4 linked regions of the Drosophila melanogaster genome follow. The protein of the gene in region 3 purifies or fractionates together with the protein of the main gene of each other region. This does not show direct contact. Each region holds a gene or a part of one and is shown on either strand. Other genes may lie near its edges. The genes, in order: Lgr3, scb, Ilp8 and drl.

Region 1 (6,118 bases), on a different chromosome or scaffold from region 3:
TGGCAAAGATATTGTCGCGCAGGGTCAGATTGTTGCGGATGATGATCAGATTGGTGACCTCCGAACTGAGACGCGGAAATCGCCGCAATTTGGCATAGCGACCGCAGTAGAGGATTGTTCCCTGGCCGCACTGACAGGCCTTCGGATATGTGACGATATCTAATGGATTTATATATATAATGTATCAATTTTTCGAGTGCAATTGAGGCGCATTCACTCACCACAAGTCATGTTTAAAGTTAGGCTCTGATTCCTTGGCACCATCGACGTCGTTGAATCCGCACCGCTCGCATTTGAAACGGCGGAGATTAGGCGCTGTTGCTTCTTTTCAATCGCATTACGGACAATCTTGTCGGCAATCTCCTTGCTGCCGTAGAGGAGACCGCACTCCACCGGATTCTCGTCGCTGCTGTCGGCGCAATCGTTCCGACTGTCGCACATCTGGCGCCTTGGAACGCACAGCGTGCCGTTGTCGCAGGCGAAGCTGGCCGCGGGGCAGGGTCCTGGGAAAAGGACGATCCCAAATTAATTATCACTCAAGGACAGCGGAGCATATTGCATGTGAGTTCAACTAGTTTCTCAACAGCATTTTGGGGGAAATCAAAACAAAATCTAGTGATGATTTTAACCAAAATATATATTTCCTAGAGCTGTTAGCCATCAAGCAAACATTTGTGTCTTTGAAACATTTTAATATCTTTTGTTTGTACCTTTTATAATTTCCTAGCCCACACTGCGTATGAGTAATTACTTTAATCTCTGACAAGAAAACTTTAAGCTACAATTGACAACTTAATTGTCATAACCTCCACCCAAAAACTTATATCAGTTTATTGTTAGCATTTTTGTCAACACATGGCAATTAAACTTAATGTGCAAAGTTGACATTGATTTTTGAGAGGTTTGCTTTGTTAGCAATATGCTTTTTCGAGCGTTTAAATCAAGTACATGGACATCGAAATGATTGGCTTAAATAAATTAATGTGCTATTGCAGCTAATTTCACTTCAAAAGTTGAGCTAAGTTTTAACAATTGAATTTTCTTACTCTTGGCCTTAATTTATACCGAGACTTTTTCTGCCTGAATGCCTACAACTTTTTTTTTTGGGTAATTGTCGTAAAACGAAATGACATTCTTGTTTTGCATTTTATCATTTTTACGATTTGTTTGGGTACCATGCGTTGAGAGTCCTTCCGAAAATTGAGCAATTCAAATTACTAGATTATGGAACATAGTTCGTTAGACAAATGAGCAAATAAAACTGGAAGTGGAGCACCTTGAGGAGCTTTTAATCCGATTGCACGGATTGCGTCAGAAACATGTTCTTTGGGTTGCTGGCTCATTTATCTCATAATAACTTTACCCTTTTGCACGATTGCCATGGCACTGTGTAAATAAAGATATTTCAATGTGAATGCTTTTAATTAGACATAAGCTATAGTGCATTCGATTTGATATCTGCATTTAAAGTGAATTGAAATTAATCTTTCATTCGTTAAGCTTTAAGCCAAAATGCATTTCGTTCAAGATAATAGCCATATGATTCACATCAAGCTGCACAAATTTATTTCCTCATATCCTTTTTCACATACATACATACATATTTGTATGTGTAACTTCATTAGGAAGCACTGATTCACACACAAAAGCATTGTGCATTAGGCGAGACTTTCAATTTCATTGTGTCCATGACAAGGCCACATGTTCACACACAAATCCTGGCTCTTTCCTCTTTAAACTTCCTGCTCCGTGGCTGATTTAAACCTAAGCCAGGACAAATTGTATCTGGCAGATAAATAATTTGTCGTGATGCATGTACTCGGAATCCGAGGCGACAAAAGGGCATAAATCAAACATGTTTCGCCCATATTCCATAGATGTGGCATGGCAAATCAATACGCAAATTGGCATAAAAAATATAGCTGTGCGAATTTCTCGATATTGATACTCGTAAAACAAGATAAAAGCCTCGAACGAGGAAGCAAAACATTCAGGACCAAAGGCCCAGAAATATATATTTATACCCATACTTCCATGGATCCATCGATGGATGTGCGAAAATTGTTTTGCGCTCAAGACAAAGTTTGCGCCGTACTCGTATTTATTTTTTTATGGTCAGCCGTTTGTTGTTTTTTGCGCCCCGTTTTTTGTTTCTTGTTGCCTTATTTTTATCGTATTATACAACAAATTACTTTCAAATACTTTTGAGTATAAAATTTATGGCCATTTTGCAGTTTGGAATTTGATTTTGGTTTTTGCTTCAAGCGAAGGAACCCTTTAAGGATACGAAAGTATATATAGAAATTTACAGCAGCTCAAGTTTTAAAAGAACTTTAAGTAGTTTCACAAATTATGCGTATAATAATTGCTAAGATTTTGAACATTCTTGATTCAGAAATTATTTAGGTTTGCGAATGATGGAATTTTGAAAGGACATCACTCTAAGGACTCACCCAAACTCAAGTAGAATATCACGGCGGCCAGCAGAAGGACGACGGTCATCAGACAGAAGCCTACGGCGATGCTCCTGCCGTAGACCATGGCGATTTATCGGTTTGCTCCTGTTTTGCACGCTCGCTTATCTAATTACTTGGCCACCATGGCTGCACTGGCTCCTTGACCGAGTTCATCATTAGGAGCACTCAATTCCCACTCCGGCCACGCCCCCACAAACAACAGCAATAAGAAGAACAACAGCAGCAGGAGCTGATGCGGTGCTGACTCATTGAGTTTTTATATTATTATTTCTTATACCGCTCCGTCTTCTTGTTTTATTTTTGCGTTAATTTCTTGTCACTTCATTTGGCTAATGTTCACAGCTCGCGGAGAAGAGTTTTAAGTGCCAGGATTACACAGCTGATGAAGCGGAAGGAGGATTGGGAGCTGGAGCGGGAGTTCAAAATTAATATTTCGGATGGCAAGTGCTTTCCACTTGGTGGGGTTTCGATTTCAGCGCTGGATAAAATTGATTTGGTGTCCATAAAAAATATATGCATAAAGCGCCATTTTGACAGACGTCGGGCTTAAGTTTCACAGACGGCTTAAAGTTATTGGGGATATAAATTTATTAAAAGTATTATTTCACGCGTCTGAAAGCTGCTATAATAACTAAAATTTGTGATGCAAGAAAAAACCAAGATATAAGTTAAAAGGAAGTCATAAAGATTGGCTATACTTGTTCGCCCCGCTGAGTCTAGCAAATCGAAATGAATAATTTTAGTTGGCTCCAGTCGGAATGGTTCTATTTTTAAGCAGCCACTTGGTTCCCCAATTTATGCAAGACATTAAGCCAAACTCAAGGTTATAGGTTTGCCAAATGTACTACGAAATGGAAGTGCAATATGTGACCGGCATTAGAGGGTCCTTTTCCGAAGCATTTCTTGTCCGGCTGATTAAATTTAGCTTAATTGAGTCGGCGGCAAGGGGGGGGGGGGGTTACATCGCCCAGCGGGGGGGCTCAAGGTCAGCCGGAGACAAATCATAATTTCCGCAAAAGGTCACATTGTCTCGGCGATGCATGATCCCCAAAACAGAGAAACTGGGACTCTCATTATCGCAATCATCGCAATTGAACATCATTTGGTGTGGAAGAGGGCCATAAAAACGGAGCGCTCCTTCGTCCTTTTTGCTGGCGGGCCACTTTAACGCTCTCCCTCGACCACTTTGTCGATTGTGTCAATGCGATAGGATGCCCCCAAAAACGGACCATTCAAATGTATGCTCCTTTGCCTCTTTATTTCCTACGGGCCACTTTCACTGACCCGTTCACTGGGCGACACTTTTTGAAAATTGAAAGTAGCGCGCGCTTCGCCAGGAAGTCTGAGTCGCGAGCGAAGGATATCGACAAGGACAAAAGGACCAAACGCGTTCGAGCACAGCGGCCAACTGAAGCTGGTGGCAGCATGTGTTGCTGATTTTGTTTTTCCCTCCGCACAAGAAAAGCGGCCGAGCAGCTAGCTTCGTGTGGCACAGGACTTCGGGCTGACCGTTGATTTCATTTGCGGAAAATTCGTGGTGTTTCAAAAGACCAAAACCAAATGTAAATACAGACAGTTCGTTTCGAGAAAATCATAAAAATGTATTTATTAGCTAATTAGATGTAATGCAATTACAATTTGTTCTAAATCGTTTTTAGTTTAAATGTAATAGTAATATATAATATTCGATAAATTGCATTTCCGTTGGTGTTTTGTAGTTCACTATCATCATCAGTTTGTGTAAATATTAAATATTGCTAATTAAAAACATAATACATCAAAGCGACTTGTGGGTTGTCTTTTAATTGTACGCTAGCAATTATGTATGTACTAATGCTTGATACCTTTGCAATTGTTAATGCTTCGGTCTTTTGTTTCGATATCCGGTGGCTAAGGCTAAGCACTTTAAAAGTTAAACTTTTCAACAAAGCATTGCTAATTTGTTTTTTTAAAGCTGCGCTAATTGCTAAGTACAATAAGTTTTGTGTAATTCGAATTGTGAATTCTACAATGAATAATTCTGTAGGAGACAAATCACTAAGGGCACTACTTATTCGTTAGAAAGGCGTTTTTAAATTACGATACTCTCGAATTATTGCAACAATTAAAATTCATTGTCAAGTTAACAACTAATGGCGAATTGTAGAGATTGGAAAGGGTTTTTGTTAACACGTAGACTAGCAGCAAAAATTAACCAAAAGTATAGCACACAAAATTAAGATTAGGGCATGTGAATATGGGACTCATTAACTACTATTAAATACAAAGTACAGTGCGGAATGTAGAGTAATAAAACGATTGTGATTTCAAATTTGTAACATATATCATTGCATTGAGAGATCCATAGAGTGTGATTGGAATGTAAACATACTAAAACAACAATCAAGCACGTTAATTATTGTAAATATTTTTAGAATATTGTTTAAAATTGTGATATTCATAAGGAATCCATTTCGTTTCAACTCCATTATGCATTCAAGATATGTTGATCAATTTGTTCCCAAAAACATTATTTTGTTGGAGGAGAAATACGTTTAGAAAAATAGTTCTGGGTATGTGTGACTTAAACCCACACACCATGAGGATTTTTACTGGTTGGAACCGCCGTTTCAAGTTGCCTGGGCGAACCGATGATCCGCCGGCTGCTGCCCTGCTTGTTGGGTCCTTCCAATAGATGCTTGATCTCCTCCGTGGTGGTCACAGTCAGGCTCTGCAAATTCACCTCCTTCATCTCGTTGACCAGCTGCTCCACCTGCCGCTTCTTGTCCGCGATGGCATGCTCGATCATGAGTAGTTCCTTCTTTAAACTATCTGCAGTTTTGTTTGAAGTGTCAGTGTTGTGCAGAGCCTGGTCGATTTCACTCTGAATGCGCTCCATTTCCATCAAGAAGTCTCGCTCCACAGTTTGCCTGAAACAACCAAGAAGTGTGAAAAACTTAAAACAAAGCAAGTAAATTGCTATGCACTCACCTATTGGTCTGCTGTTGATGTTGCTGCTCCAGCTCAATGTCATCCATCAGCAAGCGCATTTTGTTCTTGCATTGTAGCAGCTCTGTTTCGCAATTGGCCAGCTTGGATCGCAGTAGAGCTATTTCTGATTTCAAAGTCTTCTCTTGCTGCTTGACCAATTCGTTTTCCTCTTCCACATACTGCAGAGTCTGGAGCTGTTCGCTTCCTTGCCGAAAGATTTGATCCGCCTTGGAAATCTCACGCGAAATAGCATCCAACTCGTGGGCGTGGTCGCGTTCTTTGCTCTCCAAATAAACTATTTCCGTATCGAACTAAGCAGATAAAACAAAAATAAAATAATAACATTCCAAATCAATTTAGAAACTTGAATATTTGTACCTTTTGCAATTCCATTTGCTGGGCTGTGATCTTCTCCCGCTGAAACTTGATGAGCTGCAGCAAATCGTTATACTGCGTGGTCTGGAACATGGGCTCACCCTCCTCCATGGCCTGGCTATTATTGTTGATGCTATTAGTGTTGTGGCTGCTATGCTGATCGTAGTCGCTGAGAAACGGATTCGTCGAGGAGGAGGCATTGGACATGGTGTCCGCATTGCTGCTGGCCAAACGCTGCCCCTGGCACATGGGGCTGTTTCTCGGGGGTGGCGGGTCACGATATGGTGGTGGGACTA
Region 2 (6,569 bases), on a different chromosome or scaffold from region 3:
TTACGGTTATGCTCATTCCTCGACATTTGCTATCTCAAAAGGTGCGAGAGAGCGCCGCTCTGTTTTGACCAGGCTTACTCGCGGTACCGTTGGGGCTCTCGTGGGAGTGGCGTGAATAACATCTTCAAAACGATTGCCATACCATATTTGCGCTTTTTATAAAATTGTTTGTTTTCTTAAGCAGCAAAAGCTGACTAATAGGACAAGATGGAGCGGAAAATGTAAGATAAGTCTTAACTGTAAAAGAATTTATTTTTCCAGCTCTAACACTGCAACCTTTGCACTTTTTAAATTTAACTGATTTCATTTTTTATCGAAACTTCGAATAATAATTCAAACCAAGGAAACTAACTTACTGCATTTTTTTATGAAAACGCCAGTAAGATTGCACATATAATGTGAAGCAAACAATCGTTTTTAATCAGCTGCATTGACTGACTCATTTCAAACCCACTTCACAGGATATGAGGTTCAATTTGAGATTAGACAGTTCAAAAAATGTATTGATTTCTTTGTTAAAACAGTCAGTAAAAGTAAACTATGGATGACACCTTTGTTATTGGCAAAATACGAATACATAATACATTTCATAATTCTCTAGCCTTAGTTTCACCTCGATTGACTTTTTGATTTACTTATCTATACAAGTTTTCCCCCGTTCGAGTCGGTGGCTTAGTCAGTCGGATGAGTCACCATGCATGCACTTATTTCCCGGCCTGATTTCAGGCGTAACTTTATCCGCATCTCGGCGCGAGTCAAATGGTTGGAGCTTAATTGCATGCGAGAAAAAAAAAACGACAGTCTCAAAAAAAGAGTCAACATATTTAAATAGGCGAATAACAAGCACATGCCACTTTGGCTACCTGATCCAGAAATTGTTTATGCTGAATATAAAGTGGTGTGAGGCCTAAAAACAGTCAGCCAACATTTGTTTTGGACTGAACGTTCGGCGTATCTCAGCTGTAATACAAAGTATGGGTTGTCGCTTACGTATTTTCCCAAAACATGAGTCATGGCCAAGTAAACCATGTCTGCACACGCATCTGCCCCCAAGCCCCAACTTTTTCCATGGCCTTTGTGCATAACTACAGCGGTGGTCAATTCAGTGTGAGCAGAAATTAAACAGAAACTTAATAAATTGTATTACAACTGTTAACTTAATTTATTTTAGGAAGATTTGAATGACTTTTTGAAGAACTATATTTTTTTCACCATCTGTTTCACAAAACAGTCACCTTACAATTATAACCTATTAGTTATTAAAAAAATAAACTAACTTAAAGTATTTTAAAATATATTGCAACTTTATATATCTTTGCAAATTGTCTTCTAAAAAATAGTTGTATGGCATACAACAGCATGCTAACATAATTGAAATGTGAAATTTCTTTTAAATAGTATAATTTCGTTTGTAAAAGTACGCTTTTGGTGCGATGGCGCTTTGTTTAAATGCCGAACAAGGAACGTTTATCCGTTTTTGTGCGCGGACAATAAAACATCTTGCGGACCACACAAATCTCCAGCGCCATCTCCATCAGCCAAACAAAAACAAAGAACCGCTGCAGCGTGCGGTCATCAAATGTTAAGAACAAAAGCCACCATGCTGCACCGTTTTCCGTTGTGGAGTCTTCAGTGTTTTTTTTTTGTTTTTGTTATAAGGAATTCGGTTTAATGACCCAGCGTAAGACGGCTAAAAATATTTGTGTGTGGTGTCAGCTGAACGGACGAACTCTTCGGAGGGCGGGGATGCGGATGGGGGCAGGTCTGCAGACGCCATCGCCTCCAAATCGGATTGGAAACATTTGTGACTCATTTCGCCAGAATGCAAGTGGTGTTGGGAAACTGTGAGTGGATGCACTTCCCCCGCATTGGATTCGAATTCAGCCCTAATTTCATTGGGAGACCGTAAACAAGAACTACACTTTTTGTTTGTTTCAGCTAACTTCAATTGATGTGATATAAATTACGGCTTGTCGTGATTTTACGCGCAATTTCCGTACATAATTAGGCGCACTTCGTAATAGCCAAGAGTCATGGGTATTTTGGGATCCAAAGTGCTGGTAATACAAAAAAATGTAGGGGGGGGGGGAAGAGCGGGAACTGTAGAGGAAGTTCCAAATTACCCATCCAGGTTTATGGAAATAAAATATGGTCAAAAGCTAGCTCGTTATGATCGCGTACGAGTACTGCATTCAAACCAGGTTTACTGATCGCCTCAATTAAAACCAGATAAGGTTGTACTGACCAAGTAGTTCTTGTATCTAAGCTGTGGCCTGAATTTTGGCAAATACATAACCTCAACTACTCTAACATAAATTACAAAGCATGAACTATCATCTCTCTTTTTCGTTTAAGAGAGAATACAGAGTAGATATCTCGAGAATATCTTAAAAAGCGTATCTGAGCTTCGATCTGACCACTTTCTTCTTATTCAATTAACTGTGATTTGTGGCGCCGACTGAGGTGTGTGATGTCATTTTTTGGGGCCCGCAAACCAACAAAAGTAGCCGCCATATGATATGTAGGTCGCCCGACTCACTGAAAATTGTTCGGGTTTGTCAATTGTTCGAGACGGAGTTGCGATCTCTCGGATCTGTGGCAATTGTAGTTGAAGTAGACAGTTTCTTTTTTTTTTTGTTATTTTTAGAAAATTCGGTCTGAAGTGGTATTGCTTTCGAGAGGTTTTCAAGCTGGGGTTTTCGACATGCCATGAGAGTTCTGTCCCAAAACTCGAACAACCTATGCTGAGCACCCATTTACGACTTGGCGAAAATGACATTTTAATTTCTTGGCAAATAGAGCGACCGAGTGTTAAGTGCCAATAAACCACCCAAGCCGATACTAATTTTGTCGAGCCTCGACTTCTGTCGATCCCCTTTCGCAAGCTTCAGTTTCCATTTCCGTATGCCAGAAGTTTCAAAATATTGACAGAGGTGTGTTGGCTTGCAACTGAAAGCACTCGCTTGTCTTGCGTCAAACATAAGAAATATGTTGATCGGTTATCGAAATAAGTATGTTTTCGAAGTATGGAAGAATCTCCCTCCAGACCCTTACACGTATGTATGCAAATATTTGCCGCGATCTACAGCTGGAAAATAGGTAACTCACCTGGTCTGGCGGATGACAAGCGTGTATCCAAAGTAGGAGCTGCGAGTCTGGTTTATGTGGAACTTCAGATGCTTCGGGGAGTTTATCACCCGACTGGGTCGCGGCATAAAATTGAATGCTTCGATGTGAGAGATCAGAGCCAAGAGGGCGAGGAATATGTGAGGGAACATTGTCGATTCAGCATTCATTGGAACTCATCAAAATTAAGTTTTCGCATTCGTAATTTCGTAATTTTGGTAATTTCACTTGAATGGACCCCGGCTCTTCTGAGGGCAATAAATCACAATTGCGCCAGAGAGCCACACCACTGAAACAGGATCCGTTGGCACTCACTTATTTATGATTTATTGAATTTAATTGAAGCACTCACACACTCGAGATCGCTGCTGTATGGCGGCGGCGTTCTCTCGAAATTATATTAATTTAATTAAGCCCAGCCGGCGGCTTTCGCAAATCTCTCGCGAGATCTAGGTGGCAAACTTGTTTTGGCTCTTGTCACTTTTGCCGGCGACAAGTCGTTGTTAATCGCACTACTCGACCGCGCCGTATCTCTGCACTGATGTGTAGCTAATAGCTAATAAATAGCATATAGCATATAGCCTATAGCATATATGGTGTTTTATTTCCGCAACGCTAGTCCATAAACGGGGCAACAGATCAGTGCTGGACGTTTTCACTCTTCGACGACCCGAACCGAAATGAAATGAATTCAAGTGCTGCAGCAGACTTGGACGACCGTCGATTCTGCTGGCCGATGTGTCCACCCAACACGATGGTCGAAAGAGATGTTCTGACCTGCTGTAGTGTGTGTTTACAAACATGGTTGCGCTGAGATTTCTGATGATCATTGATAATAACAATAAAACTTTAAGGTTTTCAAATATATTTTTTTAGTATCTAATATATTGTTATAAGAACTATCTATATATAGTCTATTAGTGCTTTATATTTTATACCTACACTTGATTTTGTTTAACAATACTATGGTATATCTAGTACCGGTTTTTGTCAGTGCATTCTCAATTCGATTGCGACCATTTGTGGTGGTGGCTCTCCTTGTTCGCACGCTACTTGCATTTACACTCCCCCTACGCGTTTGCTGCACCCTCGCACACACACAAACGAACGCACACACACAAATAAACGCACACCCAAGTGCGAGAGTACAAGTAAGTGGGTAAAAAAGCAAACGCCTGTCACCATGGAGTTCCAACTGGGAGCCGTATTTTCTTATTAATACTCATTGAAGGAATCCCGACTTTATATATATGGAAACAGGCCAGCTTATTTGTTCCTCATCATCTGGTAGATTTGGTTATAATTAATATTTACAATGTTTTAAGGCTCATCAAGATCTGCACACTGAGAGAAAGGAAATTGTTTTTATGGAAATGTACTTGTTAGTTCGTAGTTATTGCACTTATTCCTAATTTATTTCTTATGTATTATACTTAAAAGATAAGTAATGTTTATTCTTTATTTAGTTCTACTTTTAAATAATCTACATTCGTATTTTAAAATATTTTCTCCGAGTGATTCCTTTTCGGGATGTGGATGAGTGCCAGTGGAAACGGAGAGCATATGGCGGACATAAAGGATGCCGATCACGATTCCCAGGCAAATGGCCACCCGAATTGAACGGCGTACTGCTGTCATTGAACTTGGCTGCCGTGGCATGGTGATCAAATGGCTTATCAGCGGGCCCCAGGGCAAATATTTATTGTAAGTATAAAGTAGTATATGCCCCTCGTGCTGCCTTATCCGTTCAACGTTTATCATTGGGGTAGGTTGGGTGGTGGTGACCACAATTTATTAACTTTACGATCCGGTGACATGAAATTGTGCCCAGCACGGGGGGTTCAGTGGTTCAGGGGTTCAATTAGATCGACAGGGGTGTACTCTAGTTGACTTTTCCTCCAGCTATCGGTTGCCTCAAGCTGATAAGTTGGAAAACCGCGCTTAGATCGCTGGCTGTTTGTGCGCCCAGTAATTGATTTTCATTTTCAACGCAGCCTGAGCCCGCCGTTTATCAAGTCAATGTAAAACAATAAAAACTAATAAAACAAAAGTGGGGTCTGAGGTCTGGCAAGTCGTTTCCACCGATAAGCGAAACTACAACAGCCGATTACGCGCCATAAAACTCAATTCACAAGTCGAATGCTCCCAATACGATTCATAAATAAAATTCTCTTTAAAAGTTCGAAAGTTGAATGTTTGCCAGCGATTCATTCGGGTAAACAAAAGAAGTTCAAAAGGGCGGCTAATTCGGTTTTCCAACGCCGCATAGCAAGTGTTTTTTTGGACCAGGCCGCTATTGAAATGCGCAATTAAGCGCCCGCCAGGCGATTTGACAGCAATTATGTGTTACTGCACGCCAGCAGCAACAACAGCGATTGCTGCAACAGCAGCAGCAACACGGCCGCAACTGCAGAAGGGGGAGGTGCCACGCCACACTGCCAGGCACATAATTGAAGTTCATGACCCCCCATCCTCCGCTATCGGGGGCAGCTATTTCTGGCGCACATCCCAGTCTCCAGATGCAACCAGTAGCGGCAACAAAAGCACGAAACAGGGTGCAAATTGAAATGTTCCGGAGCTACGATGTGCATCAAATGGGGGAGCTGCCCTTGAAATGGATCCGTATAGAACTCCCAGTTGCAATCTGTCGTTACACTTGGCGGAAGTTTGTGACTATTGTTAGCGGCGGACACTTATCAGCGAGTTGTGTATATAATGGTTGAATCGGAGTCACAAGTCAGCAACAACAGCGGTGCCGGTGCAAACTGCACTAAAAAAAAAGTGTTGGTTCATACTCAAAGTATAGCTAGTCATAATTTGAGTTTTTGTTATTCTAAAAATTCTGTATTGCACCTATTATATTATATGTCGATTTCTTAAGTGGTAAAATGTCCAGTTTTTCTCTAAGTGCTAATGGATATTTATCGAATCGTCGACGTGAGCTTGAGGCGCAAAGCGGCGCCTTATTTGGACTTTCTGGGCAGGCATAAATGTCAAAAGGAAGTGTAAAAAAAAACTAAACACGTCCGTGAATCAATGCAGGTGTTCACCTTCCTATGACGTCACCAATTTATATACATATATAATGGTAGAGGGGTTTGTTTGAGCTCAGTAAAAATATTATTTCCAGGCAGAGGCAGAGAATGAACTTATTGCACATTAGTGGCTATGGAAATAGATCCTTCGAGAGAAGCGCAGAAATTATTATAAGAGACAGTCGTAAAACTAATGACCAGCCAACCCTTTCAAAATTTCGAGCGCCGGCGACAGGTTGAATAGGTGTCATAAAAATACCAGTCCGTAATTGATCTGCTGGCCTAAATATCGGAGGCCGATTGAGTGGCAGACGACGCCCACATAATTCAGGCTTTCGTGCGAAAAAAGACAGCAGTGAAACACTTTCGCTTTCGATAGAGTCATAAAGCAATATCATTCTGCTTTCC
Region 3 (6,212 bases):
GGAGCAGTTCGTCTTCCGGAACACCTTGCCCAAGGGCTTGATGATCGCCCCTAGCCAAGGAATTTACACATTCACCGGCGACGAGGAGCCGGGCGTCCAGTTGATGGTCCATCCAACGCCAGCAGCACGTGCCAGGTATAAAATTCTGAATGCTGGCGATAAAGTCGCCACTGTTGGTAGCTTGGTGGCCAGTGTTCCGGCGGCTGCAGCTTTGGCTGTGCCTCTGGGCGCTCCGCTCGCGATTGCCGCCACCGCTGTGGGCGTGGCCACCGGAGTCTACAGCACCCTGCGCTCTGCCTCCCATCTTATCGATCGTCGACGGCACGGACAGTCCACCTGCATCACGGATACCGAGGCACGCAGCTCTTGGTTGGGCGTAGCAGGTGGCGTTGTGGGTCTAGGAGCCAGTGGGGCCACAAAAGCTCTGTCCACCGCTGCAGGAGCTGGCTACAAAGTTAATCCCGCTGCGCAGTTAGCCGTTAGGGGGATAAATGGTGCCTCAATGGTCATCGCCGGAACGGGTGTAGCGAATGGTGTTTACGATTTATATTCGGTAAGTTGGATCCTTTAAAAAAGACATTAATTTTATAACTTCGTTTCGACCTCCTCAGAAACATGGAGATGACCAAGCCATAAACAGCTTGGACATGCTGAAGATGGCCTCGCACCTTGTGATATTCACTCATTCCATCAACAATATGCGCATCGCTTCCAAGGCTACCAACGGGTCTTCCTTGAGGCGAGCACTTCGAAATCAATCCAGGCAAGTCAATACCTCCTGGCAGTCACATATATAGTATTCTTCATCATTTTTGTATCAACAGAAAAATCTTTGATCGAATCTCCCAGGAAACAGTTAAGCTGCACAATGAATCTGGTCAATTTGATATTGTGAGAACCCTCAACGAAATCCCTTTTAAGGAGGTACTCCTCAGTCTTCACAATATGAACTCACACCTAAGTCAGGGACTTACAGTGGCCACCACTTTATTGCCCCAAATACTGAGTTACGGCATTGGCGGGCAGATGGTGATCAATATGGACATGCTCGCACAGAAGTTCGGCGGAAAATTCGTTGAGCATATCGGCAATCTGGCTAGCTTTACGGACGTTTTGGAGGCCATGGCCAGATACTTCAGCGATCAGGCTGTACAGCTTCTAATGCAGATGACCCGCACATTCGTAGAGGAGAACGTGGATTACATTGATCGCTCGCTGAATACGTTCGTATCAACTGAAGCGGTCCTCTATCGCATTCTAATGCATTGCGTTAAAACCTTTGATGACTTCGGCGAAGATTTCCTTCAGAGACAACGTGAGGATATTTTGATGGTGGTATCCAAGTACTTTCGATCACTGGAGCCAGTTGGCGAACAAAACTGCCGCAAGTACAAATGCAACGTTTGCAAAGGCGCCTACTATATTAGTTCCATATAAGCTGATTCCATGGTTCGAGCTGTCGGTTTATTAAGTGATTTAGTGATTAATAGATTGTGATACAACAAAGATTTGTTAGCCATCGTGACTCATTTGTACTAGGATTGTAATAATCTTTTAAGCCTTTATATGCGTCTTCTAAACCTAATATGCTGTTAAATTCTCTGAATGTTTGTTTAGTTTTAACTGTCCACCAATTTTTATAAAAAACACTTTAATTCCGATCAGTTGCCGTATTCGATTGTTTATTCAAAATCGATCTAAGTGTATAAATACTGTAAATGGATCTGTGTCCCTGGGAGTGGGCACAAATAAGGTACTCTATAAGAGTGAGCGCGACTTGTAGAATGTACATGAATAGCCTAACTATAACTATGGACGGATTCAGAAGATTCTGACCAGATGGCACCGACTTGGAGCGTGGGGCATGGAGCATGACACTGGAGCTCTCTTAGCAGAAGAACTCCTCCTCGCACTGGTTTAGACAGCAGTAGGGAATGTTGTTGTAGGACCTGCTCGAGTGATCCCTCTTGAAGCGATGCTTCTTTTCGTGGTGCGGCTTGATGGGCTTGTAGCGCGGAAAGATGTCCAGTTCGCTGAGGCGATTGAAGTGCTCCCGGGTCACCTTCAGGTAGCCACCCATTGGATAGCTGCTTCGGCTGATGTAGTGATGCTTGTTGTGCGTTTTGCCGGCTGAAAAGGGGGAAAACGTTGCCAGTGAGCAAATTGATCTTGAACCTGCGCCTTGAAGTCGGTTAACTTTTGCATCGGAACTGCTTTATGCAAATGCCGTATTAATTGCAATCTACACACTTAAAAAAAAACGTGTTTTCGATATGCAGTTCCGAATGCAATTGTCGGGTTGACTGACACTCTGACCTTATTAGCTCGCTAATCCAATATTTTAATCTTTTCCTTATCGATGTTCAGTGGATATTGTTTAATTGAGATTTTAAAACGTAAGTATTATAGTTGGAAACAAAATTTAAAAATGGTAAAGTCATAACGAAGCATTATAATAATTTGATCTTTAAATTTATCCGAAATATTTTTAAACATTTTTTTTCCTAGTGCCACACTATGCTCTAAAATCTAAGATCTAGATCTAGATACTTACATCCAAGTCGATTCAGATGGTGGTGCGCGAACTCGATGGACCTTCTGTCGCGGCGGGCACCCTCGTCCGCCTGAAAGAGGTGCTCGCACGCCTCCATCGCGAACTTCTTCATCCGCTCCAGGGAGCAGAAGCTGCCCGACGAGCTGCCCATCAGGCAACAGACTCCGATGACCAGCAGCATCCAGCGGCACATATGCAACTGCAATGGAGGAGCGGGCGAAACAACAAGTGAGTATGAGTATATTCCAAATTAAACACCCAACCGGCCTCCGGCTCCTAATTATAAATCGCTGACGTTCAGAATTTATCGCATAAGTGTTACAACGATCCTCTAACCGGCTGCACTCTGCCCTGCTTTGGCATTTCAATGTGAATCTGGATCGCCGCTCTGGACACATCTGGATTAACCACTTCGGATGACGACAGCCGGGTGTCGGGATGCCGGGATGTCTGGATGACGTCGCCGACTCCCACGCACCGGAGTATGCCGCCCATTAACTGGGTCAATATCGCATCAAGATCGAAACATAAACTGGAGCGCATTTGCAAGTCGACGCGGCCAAATGGTGAATTTTAATTGCCGCTTTTAATGACCGAAACTTCCCCGACATTACGGCGATCTGGAGCTGAAGTGGAAATTATGTAATGCGCCCCGCAGGTAGGCATTTCCGCATTTTGCATTTCGCATTTCGTATATCGCACCTTGCGGTGACACTCCAGTCTGTTTAGCACTCCAGTCCGCCATATGAATCCGATTCGGAATCGATGCGGGCATTATGCTCTTGCCCGCGGAGAACAAAAGCGCATTTGTTTATATTGGATATTGATATTTTTAGCTGACAGCCTGTTAATTGCACACACCCACTTTTTTTGTGGCGCGAAGCTAATTTAAGTAATTAAAGTGGAGTGTTCTTAGAAGACAGTTATTTGTTTGGAAAATTTCTGGACTCAATTTGGAAAAGTCCACCTTGTACTGGAAATGTTTAAGTTCAGTACAATGATTTCAAGGAATGCATAATTTGGTGTATGAAATCATTCTGAGAACTGAATGTTTGATGTTTAATGCTTTGGTGCTGAGCAACTAACCAACTATAATGCTAAAGAGCTACACGAATTAGTTATGCTAGTGTAATAGTTAAAAAACAAAAATAAGAGTTTAACTTCAACTCGAACTCACCTTTGAACTCATTTTAGTGGCGTTCTAGGATCACAATTCTCAATAGATCAATAGATCAGTAGGCACGTCGATCACCTTTCTGGCTGCAACACTACGTATACGTGTTTTCTTTTGGCGGGCAAACTTGCTGCAGAGCTAACTTGCTGAATGGTTAACCCGTCCGTCCGATCGACGTTACCTGATAATCACGAGCGGCGAGCGCACAATGAGCTTTCGTTGCCGACGTAGCCAAGCTTTTATACGCGCCTCAAAAATCGAGGATCGGCGCTTCGGATCGGCTCAGTTTGCCGCTCAGACAGCCGCTCTTCACTTTTCAATGGGAATGGGCGATGGGGGTGAGAGAGAGAGAGAGAGAGAGAGCAGATTTCGGGATTTGTAATTCTTCGGTTTCGGTTTCGGGTATGGAGTATGGGGTATGGGTTATGGGGTTCGGTCTCGGCTTTTTGGGGATCGGGATCCGCTCGCAGGAGTTTTGCGTAAGCGGCAGGGCGCGCCGAGCATTCAGAAATATACATTTTTTTTTATCAATGGGCCTCGGAACGGACGTCAGACCAGAAGAGTTGGCATTTATAGTTTCATGGCGCCGCCGTTTCGATCTTAAACGAATTTCAACATAAATGGACTCGGCGGACTCACTGAGTCACAGTCACATGCTGCTGGACTTGCTGCTGCTCTTGATAAAGCCGAGGCGAATACTGTTAGCTGGAACAGTCTAAAAACACTCTTATCAGCGCACCTTGGCAATGTAATAAGGTAGTAATAGCTACTGGTGATTTGACGGCCGATGGTGGCAGTGAAAGTGAAAACTTGGACCTTGTTGCCGGGGCTTTTCCAACCAGGGCAACGCACTTCTTGATAGCCGTGCATGCTTCTCTAATATGATTGCTTATTTATGTGGATCCATAAACAAGTTGAACAGACCCATAAAACCATTCAAATATTGTGTGTAGAATTTGAAGAACTGTAAAATTGAAATTGTTGACTGGCGTTTCCCATTGAAAGTCGAGAAAAACAACAGTGATTAGCTTTAATGCGGTAATCATTTGTTAAATCATACTTTGTACCAGACTCACTCATCATTTAGCATGCTAAAAAATGATCCAAATGCCTTTACCATCTTTTTCAGTGGCAAAGTACTACTGTTTACTATAAGTAAAGAGTCTAGAATGACAGGTTCGTTGAGCAATGGAAAGCTAAGACATTTGAAAGCTTAAGAAATTTTTGCATTGAATAATATTCCAATGGACCTCATGGTGTTTTATTCAACCTGAAATTAAATGATAACATAACATTCTTAAAAAACTGGTTGCAGAAACCAATAAACAGTAAAGTTTAATGTTCATATAGGGGGCATTTCGTTCAAAGTCTAAAAAAATGAATTCATTAAAAAAAAAAAATTGTATTATGTTGTGAATAAAAAATGGAAGGCCAGCGAAATTGTTGTTAAACATTCAGATTTATATAGAAATAATATATAAAGTTACCGCACATTTGCTGATGTACTATGTATTGTATTTCCAAAGGTTTCTATCTCTACGATTGCTGCTTTTCGTATGATAGCAGGGTTCTGTGAAAAAGCGAAAGTGTAGAACTTTCACTGTCGTTTCTGTTCGGCTCTGCCTCTGTCTCTTTCGGTATCGGGCTCGCCCTCTCTTTCGCTCACCCTGTTGCAGCATCATTTGGGGTGGAGCACTTAACGGTTGTTCTGGATCGGGCGTCATCATCGTGCGTTCTTATTTTATCAGATCGTTTGTGTTACGTTCTTTTTCGGATATTTTTAGCCGCTCTCTCGGTCAATGCACACTTTCGGCCGACTTTTTATGGGTTCAGATTGTTACGTTTCTGATTCCGATTCCGATTCGGTTCGGATTTGGTTTCGGTTTCGTTTCCACATTCGTTTTGGTTATGCTGTTTTCTTTTTTTTTGCCACTTGCTTTTCGCTTTCGTTGCATTCCCGCATGCGGAAATGTTAGCCGGCCCTCGTGGCGTATGCGCAATGCTGCTGCGCAGTTGCATTTTCTCCCGCATTTCGCACGTATCCTTCGGAATGTGCATTCTCGCGCTCGTCGATCCGATCGGCAACGCATAACGGTAACGGGCACGTTCTGGGAACACCGACTTGGGTTCGGAATGTGTGCGCTGGCCGTTGTGGTTCGGTGGAACTCTTGCTGGTATGCGGCATTAATTGGTTCGCCACGGGCACTCTCATTCATAAATACAATTTCACAACCTGATCTAAAGAATCGCGCCACTTGCGCCATGTCAACGATCTCCGTCGAATGCCCCTACCTGGGCATCAAATTCACGACTCATTATCAAAGAAAAAAAAAACAAAAAAAATTGGGCAGAAAGAAAAGAAAAAAAAAACAGCCGAAATACAACAGAACCCAACGGAGTATGAACCGCAAACAGGTTCTGCTTCTAATAGAATCGCCGGTCCATCGACGATCTGATATTCGTGCAGTCTAGACGAGCATTGGT
Region 4 (6,265 bases), on a different chromosome or scaffold from region 3:
AAACTCTCTAGATAAAAGTATCATTGTGTACTCGTTGCACTCAAGAGTGATTTTAAATCACAAACATAATAAGTAAGTACAAGTGTAATTGATGTACTGAGTAAATGTTTTTCGCCGTGTAGACAGGAGACAGGTGGCAGGGGCAACCGCTTGTTTGTGTTGGCGTGGCAAGTTGGCAACACATGCCGCACGCTCGGGCAGATCTAATGCCTTCGCTTCCAACTGCAGCATTAATTATTCCGAGGGTGAAATATTTTTGGCCACGCACGCCAGAGATTTCACTACAACTTCTGGGCCAAATCCTGGGATGCAGATGATGGCGATGATGCTGCTGCGCCCTAATTGAGTTCACATTACTTGCCGAAATATGTTGCGTTTGGGGGCAAATGCTCTTGCTTTTATTAGCCAAACGTGAGTTGGCAACAATCGCCATTGTTCGCCGGCAAATCATGTTCATTTCGAGATGATGAATCCTTCGACCCGCGCCAGTTGAAAGTGTCAAACCATTTAGAGAGTTGGGATGGGGTTGAGATTAGCAAGTGTTGATAGACAGACCCGAAACGTGACTGGCAACATCCATGGGTTACATGGATTAGGGAGGGATCTGCTCAGACAGCTGGCAGGGCTACAAAGTTGGGCAAAGTTAAAAGCCCCATTGAGCCAAGTGTGTGGCGGGGGAAAAGTTTTCCGAATGTTATAGGATGTTATAGGTTCTGGCTATATGAATTTAATTGCTTTCCTTGCCATTAACAGTGGGGTGCCACAAAGCCTGGGAGATCAGTGTCCTAAGATGGAATAATGGTAGTTCCCTTTAGATAACGTGTTACCCTTGACTATCCACACCCAACGCCGACAACTTTGGTCACTCATTGCAACCGCAAAATCCATCAACTGCACCGACTTTACATATCCGCTCATTTCGCTAACGAGCTGGGCCACAGAGCCACCGAACCAAGAAGACCCTCGCCACCGCCGCCCGGCTTGATCCACACCTGACATGGTTTGCATAGCATAGAGCACAGCAATTTGGGGCGCACTTCTGGATGGAGAAGTGGGTGGGCCATGGGATGGAACATGTGTGCTATGGGTATGTGTTCGGGTATGGATGTTAGCCTAACGAACAGTGAATGCCATGCCGCAGCTGCATGCAAGTGCATGGAGCTCTTCTTTGGGCGATTCTCCTTCACTCTGCTCCTGGGTTGACAATTTAATTGATGTGCACTCACACAAAGGCTTTTGAAGCGACCGCTAAAAAAATAAAGTGAAATAAAATAAAATAGAGTGACACCTAGCCAGGCGTTGCGAACACACACACAGTGAAGTCTCGGAAAGTAGGTCAGGCATGCAACCCGCTGTCAGCGCTGAATAATTGGAGAGGGTATCGCCACCCAATCCCGAAAGCCCAAAACCAAAAACCAAAAACCCTCTGGGGAAAGTGCAATTGGAGGAGTCGGGAATCGGGCGAAAAATGAATAGCGGCCACCGCTTAATGGGTTTTAATGCTGATTTCGTTTGACACTCGGCTGACACAACTAATAAATTTTCCGCTGCCATGTCAAGTGGAAAGCCTCAACTGGCCATCCATCCCATAGCAAACCATCCCACCCACTTGCCGTATCGCCTTTGATTGATTGTCTGCTGGCGCTTTCAACTGATTGCGAGGTGTGTAGTGGAGCAGCCAGGACTCGGGGGCCAGAACTGCAATCAAACATGAATTACGACGAGTGGCAGACGCTGATAAGCGGCTAGATAAGCGCCTGATTAGCAGCCCGGCACTGCAGTTCAAATATTTACCCAGTTATTCACAAGTGACGCGATGCAATCTGCGTACCTACATACTCCGCACTCCGCACTCCGAAACTCCTGACGCCCATCAATCAGCCGGAGGCACAAACACGCGAGTGTTGTAAATTTTACAACATAATTTTTGATAATTTTTCCCTATCAGCTATACAGCTCCCTGCGCCCCCGATCCACAGAACACACTGCCTACAAAACAAACACTTTGCATGTGTTTTATGATGCCACATGGATGTGGCACAACTTGGGCCGCTTCACCCTTTCCTTTTGGCCCATGGATTGAGGCTACTGATTTATTTTTTATATTCACTGGGTTGTAAATTCTTTGTCTGGGCCCTGTGACACATTGTAAAACAATTTTCCCCACTTTTATTAGCTTGGCAATCTCTTCGACAGGATTTGTGTGTGTTTCTTTCTGGCGGGGAATGGCTTGGGTCCAAGAAGACGAGGTTGGGGATGGGGATCGGGGCGAGGTATAAATATAAAAGTAGATTAAAGGTACTTGGGCTGCGGACTCGAGCTATCCCAAGCCGATTTGCTTGGCCAAGTGGAAACCTGGTTATTAGATGGAGATAAACAAATCTGTTTTGATAAGGGCTAAGAATCAGTCACTCGGATTTTTAAGCTTATTAGAGTAGTATTCTTCTATGGAAAATAGTTAGGCTAAATAAATAATATAAACTAAACTAAACTAAATATTTAAATACTCATTTTGGTGTCATTTTTTGACTACATGATTTTACTATTTATTTTCTTTTGAAGACGTTTATAAAATATATCTAAAATTGTTTTGTATTGTTTTAAATTGGATAAACTATGAAAAAATATGATTTTTTAAATAAAAACTTTGATTATAGAGGGATTACTTATCTAGAGATGAATCCACTTGCCAATCGAATTTAATTTAACGCAAAGAAATACAAATTTAAATCGCTTTAGCATTTCTATTTATCTAGATAAGTCTAACGAACAATTAAATCAAAGAAACAGGAAATCATGCTAGACAAATAGAATGTTTTCTTGTTTCTCGGTGAGCTGGCCAATTGAAGGAGGGACAATACTACTTTATATGTAGCTCCGAGGCTAGAAACAATTAAAAGGCATATATTATTTACGCAAAAAGAGTAAATAATCCCAGCAAGTCGCATTCGTTTGCCCAGGAGACAAAATCCCGGCTTGGCATAAATCAAATTTGATTTAAAGTCGAACGAACGCACACAAAGTGGCAAATAATTGCCCAGTTAATTGAAAAGCCAAAAGGCAGGCGAAAATCAACACGATTACTTACCGATTAGGCGCAGCACCTCGTGCAAGTTGAGGAAAATATTGAGATGGGCCTGACCGCTGGCGATCAGGGTCAAAAGTAATCCGATTGTTAGCAAGTTGGGGGCCATCTTTCGGATTCGATTAATCCGCCGGTTGTTTAGTCGCAATAAGAGGAAGAGATAGTTTTAACTGCAGTTCGGCTACTCTGCCGATTTTCTATTTCCCGTTTGGCACTCGCTAAAACGATTTAATTTCCGCTGCACTGCTGTTCACTTTTTGCGCTGCATTTGCAATTTTACGAGCGTCGCGTTGATTTCAATCGCGCTGATTATTACAGGAATTATTTGTCAGAGCATTTGGCACTTTGCCTTCTGGCCGGGAAAACTCAGGCGCACATATTTCCCAATCAGTCTCTGTCTCTGCACCCGTTTTTCCTCGCTTTTCTCGCCGTTCGTCCGCGTTCGTTTTCCGCGTTTGATCCGCTCACCGTGACGATTTTCCACAAACTGTCAACTGGATAAACAAACACTTCGCCACGAAGCGAATGGCTTCCACGCCGAGCGGAGTGGAGTGTGGACTGTGGACTGTGTGTGGCGCTCGTGGACTTGTTCTGTAGAACTTGAAGGCTGGAACCCGTATAACAGTCGTGTTGGAACCTCGAACTCGGTTGCAGTTCGAACATCTCATCGAACATCTCCAATTGGCTAAATACCAAAACTGGCATACTGTTCGATATCCTTTATTAAATTAACTAAACAAACATTCATATAAAGTTTAAAAAATAGACCCACAAACTTCCCAAATGAATTCGAATTAATGATGTAATATAATGATTTTAACCTTTTAACTTTTTTTTATTGTGTTTGATTCAATTTCGAATTAAACTCATGTTGCCAAAAATAAACATTACGACATTTTATACTTTATAAATCGTTAGTTTATTACAGAAAGAGAGACAGAAGCTTGCAGAAGCATAAAATAAATAAGTACAGAATATATAAATACGTACATGATTTTAGGTACATCAATTAACAACATAAATAATTTATAATTACAGACTTGGAATGTGTATCAGTCGTTACACAAATAATAGGAACAGAAAATTAATACTAAAAGCACACAGAAGAACCCTAACAAAAATCAAAGCTGCACGAGAAGAATCTTAACTAATACATTTGACAAATCAAATCTTTGGAATATTTGCAAACTGGCCTTGGCTAAGTACTTGATAATTTGACACAATACTTCATTAGTTACTCTTAACATTAAATTCAAGCCTCCAGTTTCAGCTGATCGATGGAGCTTAGAGTAGTTTCAATAAGCAGATTGTAGTCCAATTCGTTTAGACTGGCCTTCGCAGTCAGCAGGTCCAGAAAGGAGTCCAGTGGCGAAAGGGCTTCGGCAGTTAGATCTGCAAGAATACCAACCAAATTGGTCATTAGAGAGGTGGCTATGGTTAAGTTAGATAACAAGAAACAAAATGTGCAAATGGGACAACGACTGGCGAACACTGAACAGCGTTTCTTACCGGTCAGCGATGGGAATGTTTTCTACCAGATGAGAGGGCGCTGCCTGAACGCATAGCTCGATATGCTCAGGACGACCGTGGTTAGAATGAAAAGCAGAAAAACCAAAAGCAGCGAGTGACAAACAACAGTGTTGGGCTTGCCCAAAGCTGGACGAGATGTGTTCGGGTGAAGAGTGTACAAATGAAAAGTTAACGTGTTTATGGCGGGCTAACCAAGCAAGATCTTACCGCTCCGCGCATTATTTCGCGATTGATTCACGCAGGCCGTGGGTCGCTGCTGGTGCAACACCTCCTGCTGCTGACCCGACAGAATGTTGGCCGCATGCTCGCGTCCGCGGATCATAAGGCTGTCCGGATGCTGCCAGCATTTGAGTAACCTTTGAGCACGCTGCTTGGGCAGAGCAGACAAAAGTGATAGCTTCCGCTCAATGCCCAGTGGAGAATCTTCAATATCTGAAGGAATACATTAAGCAATAATGAAATGAACAGTATATGAAAACAAGTATATATATTTGTTACAAACCGAAAACAATGGCCTTCATCACATCCACTTGCAGTTCGAACACATGATTTTCCACATACTGCAGAAACATATCATAGCCCAGCGCACGATAGCCCAAGTAGGTGAAGAACGAGGAGAAACCCTCGGGCAGGGGAAACGCAATCGATTCCACAGCCAGGCAATAGCGCTCGAGGATTAGAAACAGAGAGTGCTGTTGATTGGCAGCCATTTGGTCACTGCAATCATTACAGACGTGAGTGAAAAGTGATCACATTTGAAATCATCACCAACTCACATCAACTGAAAACCCCTCGAGGTCTCCATGCGCGCATCTAGGCCTGCAGCACGACAAACCAGAGAGCAAAGAGCCCGCGAGAGTTCAAGCTGCGCGGAAACGAACTGGGAGGCCACCGCATGCACATGAGCTGGAGCCTGGGAGCGCTCGAAAAAGGTCTCCTTCAGCCAGCGGAAGCCAGTGTTGGGCTTTGACGTGTGCTTCACCAGGTGAACGCTCAGCTCGCGCAGATACTGTAAATTTCGTAGCTTTAATAAAAATGTTACCTCAAGATTACGCAGCAACTCACCACAGAAATGACGTGCTCCTGCTTGCTGGCTGTGCATCCCTCCAGTTCGATAAAGGGCAGCACTTCGTTGCTGAATGGAAAAGCACTTCCGCTACTATAGTCACCAAATCCACCGGTGCCCGTGTCTGGCGAAAGTGGCGTGGTGCATCTGGACAGAGCCTCCGGCTGGTAGCAGGCCAAACTAAAGATCAACTTCTCCGTCACCTGCTCAGCACTGAATCTAGGCTGCTCCTGCTTGGCTGACTCGTTGAGAAGGTCCCATAAGCGAGTCCAGATGTCCGTGCGATAAGGTGAAAGGCGCTGCTGTGGCGAGAGCAGCATCATGCTGGTATTGTGCAGGGTTTCATGAGAGAGACCCACGCTTATATCGGCCACCTTTGCGTGGATTGGTCGCGAGGCTAAGGCAGTAGTCAATGGCAGTAGTCGCATCAGTGGCTTGGCATCCTCTGGTAGTCCGCGAACAGCAGCCGCATAGCTGCCAGCCACAAGAGCCTCCTTCAGCAAAGCCACCGTATCCAGGGAGAGTGGTCGCTCCAAGATATTGTTCAGCAGCTCGGCCAACACATCCATATCGTTCGAGTGCAA

What was found.
Region 1: the proteins of Ilp8 (region 3) and Lgr3 purify together in Drosophila melanogaster (affinity purification with western blotting, with the first as the bait; one study listed by BioGRID). This does not show direct contact.
Region 2: the proteins of Ilp8 (region 3) and scb purify together in Drosophila melanogaster (affinity purification with mass spectrometry, with the first as the bait; one study listed by BioGRID). This does not show direct contact.
Region 4: the proteins of Ilp8 (region 3) and drl purify together in Drosophila melanogaster (affinity purification with mass spectrometry, with the first as the bait; one study listed by BioGRID). This does not show direct contact.

The regions. Positions count from the first base shown.
Region 1 is NT_033777.3:25,663,578-25,669,695, reverse strand, and holds the start of Lgr3 (Leucine-rich repeat-containing G protein-coupled receptor 3), read right to left. Parts: upstream 3,888-6,118; 5' UTR 3,707-3,887; intron 2,884-3,706; 5' UTR 2,542-2,883; coding exon 2,454-2,541; intron 504-2,453; coding exon 222-503; intron 160-221; coding exon 1-159. Other genes in the region: RASSF8 (Ras association domain family member 8), read right to left, coding at 5,041-5,386, 5,448-5,758, 5,826-6,118.
Region 2 is NT_033778.4:15,246,023-15,252,591, reverse strand, and holds the start of scb (scab), read right to left. Parts: upstream 3,809-6,569; 5' UTR 3,297-3,808; coding exon 3,109-3,296; intron 1-3,108. UniProt on the Drosophila melanogaster protein: Integrin alpha-PS3/beta-PS is a receptor for laminin. Also binds to wb. Important during embryogenesis for the development of the trachea, dorsal vessel and salivary gland, as well as for dorsal closure. Required for short-term memory processes.
Region 3 is NT_037436.4:17,028,155-17,034,366, forward strand, and holds Ilp8 (Insulin-like peptide 8), read right to left. Parts: upstream 3,927-6,212; 5' UTR 3,744-3,926; coding exon 3,732-3,743; intron 2,754-3,731; coding exon 2,555-2,753; intron 2,131-2,554; coding exon 1,889-2,130; 3' UTR 1,658-1,888; downstream 1-1,657. Other genes in the region: CG7730 (uncharacterized protein), read left to right, coding at 1-553, 612-763, 825-1,437.
Region 4 is NT_033779.5:19,187,658-19,193,922, reverse strand, and holds the start of drl (derailed), read right to left. Parts: upstream 3,582-6,265; 5' UTR 3,195-3,581; coding exon 3,089-3,194; intron 1-3,088. Other genes in the region: pigeon, read right to left, coding at 4,338-4,477, 4,823-5,047, 5,118-5,332, 5,392-5,624, 5,681-6,265. UniProt on the Drosophila melanogaster protein: Probable coreceptor of Wnt proteins. Involved in neuronal pathway recognition and ventral muscle attachment site selection. Non-vital for development. May be part of a signal transduction cascade involved in learning and possibly memory.